Linked DNA regions of Macaca fascicularis. The protein of the gene in region 3 interacts with the protein of the main gene of each other region in a biochemical or structural test. Links are inferred from orthologs where the notes say so. Each region holds a gene or a part of one and is shown on either strand. Other genes may lie near its edges.

Region 1 (4,297 bases), on a different chromosome or scaffold from region 3:
AGGCGTGAGCCACCGCGCCCGGCCACCATTTCTTTTTCTTTTCTTAACCAAAGACCCTTGCCAAGTCATTCCCCCACTCCACTTTGTTTTCCTTTTCATTTTTTCCTTCCTCCCTTTTCTGAGTCACAACCATTAGCCAGGAAGCACCCCCTCCTCACCCTCTTTCCTGGATCCCCCTCATTCCCTCCTTCCATAGTCCACTCCCGTGTTCCCAGGTCCAGGGCTTATTTGCCCAGAGTTTGGAAAACCCCCAGATCTCCTTTCTACAGCGTGGGGGCAGGGTACTGGTGCCAGTCACGTGCCTCTGGCTTCAGAAGACTCCAGACTGGGGTGGGGTGGGGGGGTCCTGCCCATCTCCCTAGCACCTTATCTTCGCTACCATCTGTGTCTTTTTTCCCTCCCCAAACGGAACCCCCTGCCCTCTCGCCTATAGTCGTTTAATTGCAAAAGCCAGGCCGTTTGTGGGAGACCACAGACAGCGACCTCCTTCATTTACCGGTTGAGACGAGAGTAAAGGGGCTGCTGCAATCTGGGTAATAACCCTATCCCCACCCCAGGAGTCACAGTCACATCGTTAAGTCTTCCTCCCCTCTTGTCCCAGGCCAGCTTTAAAAACGTTAACAGCATTTCTGCTGGGTAGCACCTGGCCAGGGTCACCCCCTCTGTCTGCTCAGGAACGTCTGTCACTTCAGAGAGGTTAAGTGACTTGCCCCAGTCACACAGCAGCAGTCTGATAGGCTGCCAGGGCCCTAGGGGCAGAATGAGGAGAGGGCTGGCATTCTTCCCACTGGCCCGCGTGGCTGTAGCACCGGGGTGCAGCGTAGCCCCAGGGCCCCAACCCATGAGCTCTCTCCTATCCTGGGCGGGGGTTGGGGAGCAGCAGTGGGGTGCTGGTTCCCAAATGCAAGATAAGAACTGGCTAGGAAAGCCTTGCCCAGCCCCTCCACCTAGAGGGAACGGGAGGAAGAGAAGCTGAGGCGGGGTCCCGATCCCGCGTGGAAACACCTGCGCTCCCGCGGGTTCTTTAAACGCTCAGATGGGGAACGACGCGCACGGGCAAGGGCGGTCTTAGGTTCAGGTCTGGTCACATGACCTGGCCTGAGGGGCTCGCGGCCCCCACCCCACCAGTGGGCGTCCCCCACAACGCGTGGTCGACCATCATTGGTCAGTGGTGAGGCCAATAGAAATCGGCCATCTGGGAACCCAGCGTTCCGAGGCGCAGCCTAACCTAGTGAACTGACGAAGGTCCAATGGAAAGAGACGGCCGTGGGCGCAGGCCAATGATAAAGTGTCAGGGGCGGGCCCAAGGGCTGGGTCAGGTTGGTTTGAGAGGCGGGTGGGTATAAAAATGCAAGGCGGGCGGCGGCGTCCGTCCGTACTGCAGAGCCGCCGCCGGAGGGTCGTTTTAAAGGGCCCGCGCGCCGCCGCCCCCTCGGCCCGCCATGCTGCTATCCGTGCCGCTGCTGCTCGGCCTCCTCGGCTTGGCCGCCGCCGAGCCCGCCGTCTACTTCAAGGAGCAGTTTCTGGACGGAGGTAACGCCTGGTCCCACCTCGAGGCCGTCCCGGCGACGCGGCCGGCCCCCCATCTCGGATCTGCGTCGTCGCCCGTAATTACCGCTTAGAGGGCCAACACAGTGGTCCCCGGCGACTGGAGCTGCGGGCGATCCCTCTTCTGCGTCCCTGGGGAACGCGGAAGGCGTAGCGGCCTCCCGCGGCGGGAGTTAGGGTTCGCCCGAGGATCGCTGAAGGCACCCGACGTGTCAACTAGAGGTTGGGGTGGGGAGAGTCGGGGATCTCCTTCCCTGTCCCCAGCAGCTTGTGGTTCTCCGCAGATACTTGGTGTGGGGGGGATTAGCAGAGCCGCGCTGACCTAACTCTCTAACCCCCCACTTAGACGGGTGGACTTCCCGCTGGATCGAATCCAAACACAAGTCAGATTTTGGCAAATTCGTCCTCAGTTCCGGCAAGTTCTACGGTGACGAGGAGAAAGATAAAGGTAAGAGCTTAGGAGTGGGTGCTCAGATCCGCGAGGACTTCCTGGCAGAAGTCCTTGTCCGCACATACACAGCCGGGACAGTCCCCTAGGAGCAGGGCAGGTGGAGGAAGTGGGGGAGTCGTCTGTATCGTCTAAATCGAGGATCCTCGCGGGTCAGGACCCAACGGTGACCACACTACCGTCCCGTCTCAGGTTTGCAGACAAGCCAGGATGCACGCTTTTATGCTCTGTCGGCCAGTTTCGAGCCTTTCAGCAACAAAGGCCAGACGCTGGTGGTGCAGTTCACGGTGAAACATGAGCAGAACATCGACTGTGGGGGCGGTTATGTGAAGCTGTTTCCTAATAGTTTGGACCAGACGGACATGCACGGAGACTCAGAATACAACATCATGTTTGGTGAGGGGCTGCTTCCTGGTGCTGACCTCTGTCCCATTAGTTGGAGGGAGACCCAGACCCCATTGACTTTCTTAATAGTTATGATTGTCTTTGGAAGGGGCGCTAAAATAATTAAGTCACAGCAACAATTTATTGCGTTATGATCGCAGATCTAGGCTGTTAATTAATTTGTGTCATTGTATATAGTTATTTCCCAATCTTACAAATGAGGATGTTGAGTTCTAGAGCACTGATTTTTTTTTTTTAATTTAAACTTAAGGCTTCACCCACAACCCATTCAGGACAGAATCAGGGTCTGAGTTTCTCTTTTCAGCCTTGACAGACCCGAGTTTAGGAACCAGGTCTTCCTTTTGTAAAGAGGGGTGAGGAACTCGAAATGGTGGGTAGTCTCTGACTTTTAACTGGATCTGCTTCACACCTAGGTCCTGATATCTGTGGCCCCGGCACCAAGAAGGTTCACGTCATCTTCAACTACAAGGGCAAAAACGTGCTGATCAACAAGGACATCCGTTGCAAGGTGTGCCTGGGGGTGGTGGCAAATGGGTGTCATGGGGAGGTTCAGAGGTCAGCCTGATTGAGGGGGGGCTGCTCACCTTCTTCCTTCTTCAGGATGACGAGTTTACACACCTGTACACACTGATTGTGCGGCCAGACAACACTTATGAGGTGAAGATTGACAACAGCCAGGTGGAGTCGGGCTCCTTGGAAGACGATTGGGACTTCCTGCCACCCAAGAAGATAAAGGATCCTGATGCTTCAAAACCTGAAGACTGGGATGAGCGGGCCAAGATCGATGATCCCACAGACTCCAAGCCTGAGGTTGGTGTTTGGGTGGGGGCTCTGCTCTCCACATTGGAGGGTGTGAGGACATTTGGGCCAACTCTGACCTCTTCATCTATCCTCCAGGACTGGGACAAGCCCGAGCATATCCCTGACCCCGATGCTAAGAAACCCGAGGACTGGGATGAAGAGATGGATGGAGAGTGGGAACCCCCAGTGATTCAGAACCCTGAGTACAAGGTGAGTTTGGGGCTCTGAGCAGGGCTGGGGCTCACAGTGGGGAGTGCACCAACCTTACTCACCCTCTAGTTCCCTTCTTCCTTCTGCAGGGTGAGTGGAAGCCCCGGCAGATCGACAACCCAGATTACAAGGGCACTTGGATCCACCCAGAAATTGACAATCCCGAGTACTCTCCTGATCCCAGTATCTATGCCTATGATAACTTTGGTGTGCTGGGCCTGGACCTCTGGCAGGTGAGACTTGGAGGAAAAAGGAGGATCCCTGGGGTACCTCAAGTGCATAAGATCACCCAAGGGGAAAGTGACAGGATACGATCACACCCCAGGCGGGTCTGACTCAAAAATGGTACTTTTTGTAAACAGTACTTCCTGGTCTGTCCCTGTGGAGTCCTCACAGCAATGCTTTTGAGGTTGTACTTCTTGTGAACTAAGTACTTCCCCAAGTACTTTTATGCAAATCAACTTCTTTAAATACCCCCAAAGAACTAGAAGGTGGTCAGGTAACCCACTTAGTTAGCTGGGGCTGGGCACAGTGGCTCACCCTTATAATCACAGTACTTTGGGAGACTGAGGCAGGAGGATTGCTTGAGGCCAAGAGTTAGACAACCTTGCTTGGCAACGTAGTGAGGAGACCCTATCTCTACAATTTTTTTTTTTTTTTTTGAGACGGAGTCTCACTCTGTCCCCCTTGCTGGAGTGCAGTGGCCGGATCTCAGCTCACTGCAAGCTCCGCCTCCCGGGTTCAGGCCATTCTCCTGCCTCAGCCTCCCGAGTAGCTGGGACTACAGGTGCCCGCCACCTCGCCCGGCTAGTTTTTTTGTATTTTTTAGTAGAGACGGGGTTTCACTGTGTTAGCCAGGATGGTCTCGATCTCCTGACCTCGTGA
Region 2 (4,237 bases), on a different chromosome or scaffold from region 3:
CCTTCCTTCCTTCCTTCCTTCCTTCCTTCCTTCCTTCCTTCCTTCCTCCGTTCTTTCTCTTTTGATATGGAGTTGCACTCTGTCACCCAGGCTGGAGTGCAATGGCATGATCTCCGCTCACTGCAACCCCTGCCTCCCAGGTTCAAGCGATTCTCAAGCCTCATGCCTCAGCCTCCTGAGTAGCTGGGACTACAGGCACCCGCCATCATGCCTCGGTAATTTTTGTATTTTTGTAGAGACAGGGTTTCACTATGTTGGCCAGGCTGGTCTCGAACTCCTGACCTCAGATGGTCCACCCACCTCAACCTCCCAAAGTGCTGGGATTACAGGCATGAACCACCGTTCCCAGCCCTCTTTATTGTTTTAACTGAGCATTTTATATGATGAAATTTTCTCTTCCTTATTCACATATAATTATCATTCTTTTTTTCACTTTTTTCAGTGGTTGTCCTACATTTGCAATATCTATTTGCAGCTAATCTAAGTCCTCTTTCAAATAGCCCTATACCACTTCACGGGTACTGTGAGTTAATCATAATAACAAAACAATCCTAGTTCCTCTGCTATGTTTTGTATAGAAATAAATATCCCCATAAACTGTCCTATGCAAACTGTTTCTGGATTCACTCTTTAAGTGCTAGTAAATCCATACACCTTTCACTCACACTTTCCTGATCGTAGGAGCTAAGACTTCTCCCTTTTCAGTGATCCTGCAGTCTTGCATGACTTCTTAGTCATGATTTTTCAGATATGCATGGGGGTTTTCAGATTACAAAACACTGTCACATGCATTACACCATCTGATTTTCAAAATACCTCTTTCAGAGATCAGGATGTCAGTTATGCTCATTTTATACATGTGGACACTCAGTGATGTGACTTAACTTACTGGGTCCAAGACCCCAGCTGGTAAGTAGCAGAAGCTGGAAAAAGCCGAACACTGGCTTCCTAATAAGTAGATTTCATAAAACTCCACCACCTACTTCTACATGCATATACCTTGGGTGCATAGCTCTTATACTTCTTTAAAATTCTAAAGGACCGTGCACACTGGAAACATCCATCAGCATTTTAAAATTTAAATTATGTCAGCAAGAAAATTTCCAGGTAGTATAGTTTAGGCTGTTTCACATTTGGAGGTTATTGTGATAACCTCAGTAATTTTTTTTATTTTTGCAATTAATAGTGTCTGGGATTGTTTATAACAGTAACTTAATCAACATAGGCAAACTAAAACAACATTCTAGTAAGAAGAGGGTCAGTACTCACAAGGATGACACAAATTCTTAAGCACTGACAACAGATTGCTTAACTTACTGGGCATGCTTCTCTCCTAAAAATAAAATTGTAAGTTTTATCATATCTCTTCACCTGACAGGTTACTTTCTGGTGCCTAAGGAGATCAAATAGTAATAACAACTCTTGCGGGAACTTGGTTTTAATTTATTTTATTTTTTACTCTTTTAGAGAAGAAGGAACACTCAAATAAAGAATGCAAAATGTCTAGTAGCAGAGAAGGGCGAACCTGGAGTTGTCAGAAGAGGCTGGACAGGAACAACCAAGACTGTCACTTCAATTGAGATGTTGCCAGTGAGTCTAGGCAAACAAGAAGACTTCTGGGGAGCCCAAAAATAATAATAGAAGGGTTCTAATTGAAGATGTTTACCTATGTGAAGTTAAGAAAAAGGAAGAGATGTGGCCTCAAAATTTCCATAGTAGTTATAATAATAGGGTTTATTTTGCACTAAACACATCCCTAAAATGCGAACTGTAAACATATCTACTGTTCCTTCTACCTGCAGCGGTTACACTGCATGTTCTGGGGCTGCCCTTACTCCTCTAATCCCCAAGTGCCTGGCATGCATCTGTCTTAAAATATACTATCAATCAAGTGCAAGGGTGATGATAGCGGTGGTGGCTTGGGGTGGGGAACGAGGACAGTTCTATGTGGGGCAGTTGTCAGGTAATACCTGCATCCCTAGGACTGCTTGTCTAAACACCATTGGGAGCAAAGTGCAGAGGCAATGGTTGAGGGGATAGAAATGGACTCGGGGACAGGCCCTGTGTTAGACACTCGACAGGCTTTATGCCACTGAGGCAGCACCTCCACAATGCACAGATATCAATGTCCCCATTTTACAGAAGAGCAAACAGACTTAGGTGTGCTAAGCTGCCTCATAGTTAAGTTTCTAGGACCAGAACTCAGGTTTGTCGGATCCCCAAGTCCCCTTTCGCTAGGATCAACGCCACGCTCCGCTATAGCCAGCCTAGACTGTGAATACACAAATGCAAGGAATTTCATGCGACACCCGCTCAGCATCTGCGCCTTCCTCTGCGCTGGTCACGACTTAAGCCCCATGCACATGGGGACTCCACGCTTACCCAGAAGCAGCGAGGGTCTCCAGTGAGCAGAAGAATCCCAGACCCGCCGCCCTGCCGGTTTGCGCGCTCAGCCCACCCATCGCACTGCCTTCGGACCCGGGCGTCCAGAGGAGCGCAGCCCAGCGAGGCACGCGAGTTCCCTGCGGGGCCCCGGGTGCCTCGTCCGCCCAGGCGCCTCCCCACGCCCGCCCGCGTCTCACCCCAGGCCACCGGCAGCGCGAGCAGCACCACAACCGCCAGCAGGGATCCTCCGCAGCAGAAGGGGAGACGGGGCGCCGGCGGCCCAACAGGCTCCGGGCTTCTTGGAGAAGAGGCCCCCATTCTCCCCAAGCACATCTACAAACCAGATTTGTTCTCGAAGAAAGCTGAAATAAGAGGAAAAGAGCAGTACAAAGAGGAGGGACCAATCCTTGTGCTCCGCGCCCAGGGTATGGGGAGGGCTGCGGGGTTCCGGGACAAAATGCTTTTCACCACAGCTTCCTCTTCATGGGCGAGGCCATGTTTACTCCCCATTTGCATTGTTTCTAACGGGTTTCTCTGGCAGAGCCCACGTTGCGGACCCAGGTGCAGCAGCAGAGCTTGACAATGCTTGGGCTTCCGATGGATCCCGCGTGCGAGGCTCTGCGCTTACAGACACAGGTGGTGGATGACGGCAGCTCGCCTCCAAACAGCCTGCTTGACTATTCCTCTTTGCAAGAATGTGTGTGGGAAGGTCAGCTAATGAAATGCCTGGTCTCTGTGTTGAAGCGCAATTGCAGGCCATGTGTACAGTGTACAGAGAATGTGAAGAACCAATTTCCTTATCGTGAATTGAGATGTCAGGCCATCGTAAGATTTTTAAAAAGGGAGGGACGATCGGATATACATTTTTAAAATGTAAATGTGTGTATAGTATGGAAGGTAGATTAGAATAGGGCAATAATGGAGAGGGGAGACCAGTCAGGGAGCTTTTGCTGACATCCAAGTGAGGTTTGATGGCGGCCCTGACTGGGTGGATAAAGTGGATAATTAACAAAGATTTTGGAGATGAAATGAACAGTTGCTTGTGTACTGGATATTGGTTACTTCCTTTCTTAAGGTTGGTGGTGAGAAGAAAGCAATCAAGAGTTAGCCCCAGGATTAGAAATGGATGGTGGTGCTACTTATTGAAATAAGAAATATGGATGTAGGAGTGACAGATTTAGGGTGACGGTTAAGTATTCAAGGATGAATTTATTCCTCCTATCTATCTGTGATCCTGTGCCCTTTAACCAATCTGTCTCTATCTCCCATTGTCTCTCCCTTCCCCAGCCTCTGGTAACCAGTACTCTACTCTCTACTTCTATGAGATGAGCTTTTTTAGAGTCCACATATGACTGGTATCATACAGGATTTGTCTTTCTGTGCGCACTGGTTTCCATTAGGCTTTCTCCCAAAATTCTAGTGGAAGAAATGTCTACTTTGATCATATCACTTATCACACTTTTTAATACATCCAGTGACATTCTTTTAAGGATTTGCTATCATCATTTCAAGTTATTCTCGACAGAGTAATGGGAGAAGCAGTCAGATTGTAGTAGGCTTAGGAAAAGAGAAGAGGAGAAGGCTCAGTTTCTCAGTTTTCCATCACATGCTATCAGAAGGTGCCACTCCTTACCACTTCTGCTAGTATCCATCTCCTAGTGTCTACTTTCTCCCCTCATTCCTTGAAGGTTTTAGCTCCTGGCTCATGGCCACCTTCTCCACTATTAGTTCTGCCACAGTCCCTGGTTATTTCAATATTCACAGAAATAGCATTTTCAAATCCCTGGCCTTAAAGTGCCTTGACCTCTTCTCTGCCTGTGGTCTTGTCCTCTATTCTCCTCTGACACTAATG
Region 3 (2,782 bases):
CACTTAGGAAAACCAGCAGTATCTACTGAAACTAAATACATGCTTTCCTCATTCTCTACTAGTTCCACTCCTGGATAGGTAAATTCATGCACCATGTCCACCAGAAGACAAGTCCAGGAATGTTCGTGGATTCTCTTCTTCATGGCCAAAAATTGGAAGCCACTTAAATGCCTATTAACAATAGAATGGATGAACTGAGGAATATTAATATAAGGGAACCCTACATGGCAGTGAAAAGGATGAAACTTCTGTACATATGACATGAATGAATCTCACAGATTGAATTCTGAGTAAACAAGACAGACAACATTACACACAGTATGATTCCAACTACACAATGTTTATAAACAGACAAAATTACTGGGCAGTCATGGAGGTCAGAACAGTATTTTCCTAGAAGTTAACACTAGAAGGACTTATAAAGGGGCTTCTAGGAAGTCAAAAACATCCCATATTTTAATCTAGAAAGTGAGTATATAGTTATGTATGTGAGTGAGAATTTGTGAATCTGTTTGCTTGAGATTTGTTACTTATGTTCTTTACATGGTTTAATATCTCATTAAAAAGAAAACAGAGTTCATAAAGTTACAAAATAGATTTTATTAATACCTGAAACTTGTTAAAAAGCTATGGTATTAAATTGTGGTGATGTCATTAGGGGAGCCCTCTACCCAAAGAGAAAGGAAGGCTCAACAGAGCACAGGTGTTTGTTGTAAATGGAAAAATAAATCCATCTTATGTTCATATTGCAGCAAGTTAATGCTACTGAAAGTATTGCAGCTTAGTTAAACTAGATAATTAACGTAGGATGCAAAAGATAGGGTCTTGTGGTATATATTAAAAATATATTGTTATATAATTAGCATGACTACTACTGCTGCTACTAACTACTACTACTATTATTATTACTTTGTTGGTGCTGTTAGTGATCATTTTTAGTGACTGCCACAAAAGAAACAATACTGGATAAGGGGAAATTGATATAATTTATCTTTTCAAGCAGACTGTGGGCCTGCGGGTTGCAGTAAAAAGACAAGGAGGGCCTGAGTGATGTGACCCTTCAGATAGGGAACTCGCAGAGGGCCAGATGGGAAGAGGAGCAGGGGATGTCATTCCACTTGCCATTTTTCAGTAACAATACACAGTCTTCATTAGAACCAGCATTGTTGGGCTCACCATCGTTCCAGTTTGTGTAGGTCAGTTTATTTCCTGTCAGATCTACAAACTCCCCTTCTGTGTTCTCATCAGTGATGCCCAGGAAGGCTTCCTCCTTGATGAGATTCTGGATGGCTCTGTTCTCTGCAGCATTCCTGGGGGTGGCCACAGAGGCCTGAAACTCGGCACACAGGGCCTTCACTTTGTCAAAGGTCATCATTTCACCATTAGTCAGGAAGAACTTGTTCCCAACTTGTCTGCCCAGAGAGAAGGTCAGCCCTAAAATGTGAAAAAGTGGGTGAAATTGGCTTATCCTTAAGCCCAACTCAAGGTATTTCTCAAGAAAAAGTCTTCTAGAGTAGAGTTGCCAGATAAAATATAGCATGTCCAGTTAAACTTGAATTTCAGACAAACAATGAATATTTTAGTATATCTCCTATATAATTTTTCAGACATATTTATACTAAGAATGTTTTTAAGCTGAAATCCAATTTAATTGGTGCTTTGTCTTTTTCTTTGTTAAATATGGCAACCCAAATGTGAACAGACAGACTGCTACAAAGGCCTCTCTGTGCTTTCAGATCAGAATTCTAAAAGATATATAATTTGGACTTCCAAATTATAAATTATTAACTTGAGACCAAACAAAAAATGTCTGAAAATATTTGCCCGAGGCAGGTTAGACCCCATGTCCAGGTCTCAATACCAGTGCAACAAAGGGATATAAGTCCCATTTTCAGTGAGCAATATCAGAGGGTAAAATATTAGGGTCTCTCGAGTTAGACTGACTTCCATCTATAAAGCACCCCTGCCATTTATTAGCTCTGTGCATTTGAGCAAGTAATTTAACTTCCCTTTGCCCCCATTTCTACCAAAATGTTGTGAGAATTCCATGAGGTCAGAATATGAGAAATGCCCATCAGGGTACAGAAAATTATATGCATTCAATAAATATTTTTTGCATTCTATAAATATTTGTAGCATTCTATTTTTCCCAAATTTCAAGCTGCCTGGAGAGTAAGAGAAAAGGCTTACATTTTTTGATACGAGCCATTTCTGTTTGCAGAGCTTTTCTTTCTGAGGCAGCCAGGCTACTCTCACAATCTAGAAAATTAGAACAAAGTAAAGAAGCATTGTTGAGAAGGAACCTCGGAACTGTGCATATACACGAGAGTAGAGTATCTTTTTCAAATTGAAAAAGAAGCTTATTTTACATTGATGTTTACACTTCAAAGGAAAATAAAAAATACTTAAAAGTCAAAAGAATGAAAAATCTCTATTTTCATCCAACCCCAAACGTCACTCTTTGTCTGTTTACTGTATCCCAAAGTACACGTACATATCACATGCACACATATACTCCCTGATTACTTAGCAATCCATAGGCCAGGTTCTTCACAGATTATTTCTTTCCAAACAAATTGTTCTATCAAAACTAAAAAGAAATCTCTTGAGGCATTAGTCTATTATGACCTGGTGAAGAGTGACTAAAAAGATTACAGGGTTTTTGTCTTTGGAGAGGTTTTGCTTTTGTTGTCTTTTATTTTGTTTTTGTTTTTCCCAGGTTTGTTCTATTAGTCAGGAAACCAAGGTTTTTGTGAGTTGCCCATTATCCAAGTGGGGAGGG

What was found.
Region 1: the proteins of MBL2 (region 3) and CALR form a complex in vitro, tested with the Homo sapiens proteins (2 studies listed by BioGRID and IntAct). The link is inferred for Macaca fascicularis from reciprocal best matches to the Homo sapiens genes MBL2 and CALR.
Region 2: the proteins of MBL2 (region 3) and CR1 interact in a biophysical measurement, tested with the Homo sapiens proteins (2 studies listed by IntAct). The link is inferred for Macaca fascicularis from reciprocal best matches to the Homo sapiens genes MBL2 and CR1.

Annotation. Positions count from the first base shown.
Region 1 is NC_088393.1:13,336,050-13,340,346, forward strand, and holds the start of CALR (calreticulin), read left to right. Parts: upstream 1-1,371; 5' UTR 1,372-1,442; coding exon 1,443-1,533; intron 1,534-1,894; coding exon 1,895-1,996; intron 1,997-2,188; coding exon 2,189-2,392; intron 2,393-2,814; coding exon 2,815-2,909; intron 2,910-3,001; coding exon 3,002-3,211; intron 3,212-3,298; coding exon 3,299-3,412; intron 3,413-3,501; coding exon 3,502-3,645; intron 3,646-4,297. UniProt on the Homo sapiens protein: Calcium-binding chaperone that promotes folding, oligomeric assembly and quality control in the endoplasmic reticulum (ER) via the calreticulin/calnexin cycle.
Region 2 is NC_088375.1:65,320,629-65,324,865, reverse strand, and holds the start of CR1 (complement receptor type 1), read right to left. Parts: upstream 2,815-4,237; 5' UTR 2,719-2,814; coding exon 2,583-2,718; intron 1-2,582.
Region 3 is NC_088383.1:93,790,948-93,793,729, reverse strand, and holds the end of MBL2 (mannose-binding protein C), read right to left. Parts: intron 2,260-2,782; coding exon 2,191-2,259; intron 1,435-2,190; coding exon 1,061-1,434; 3' UTR 581-1,060; downstream 1-580. UniProt on the Homo sapiens protein: Calcium-dependent lectin involved in innate immune defense. Binds mannose, fucose and N-acetylglucosamine on different microorganisms and activates the lectin complement pathway.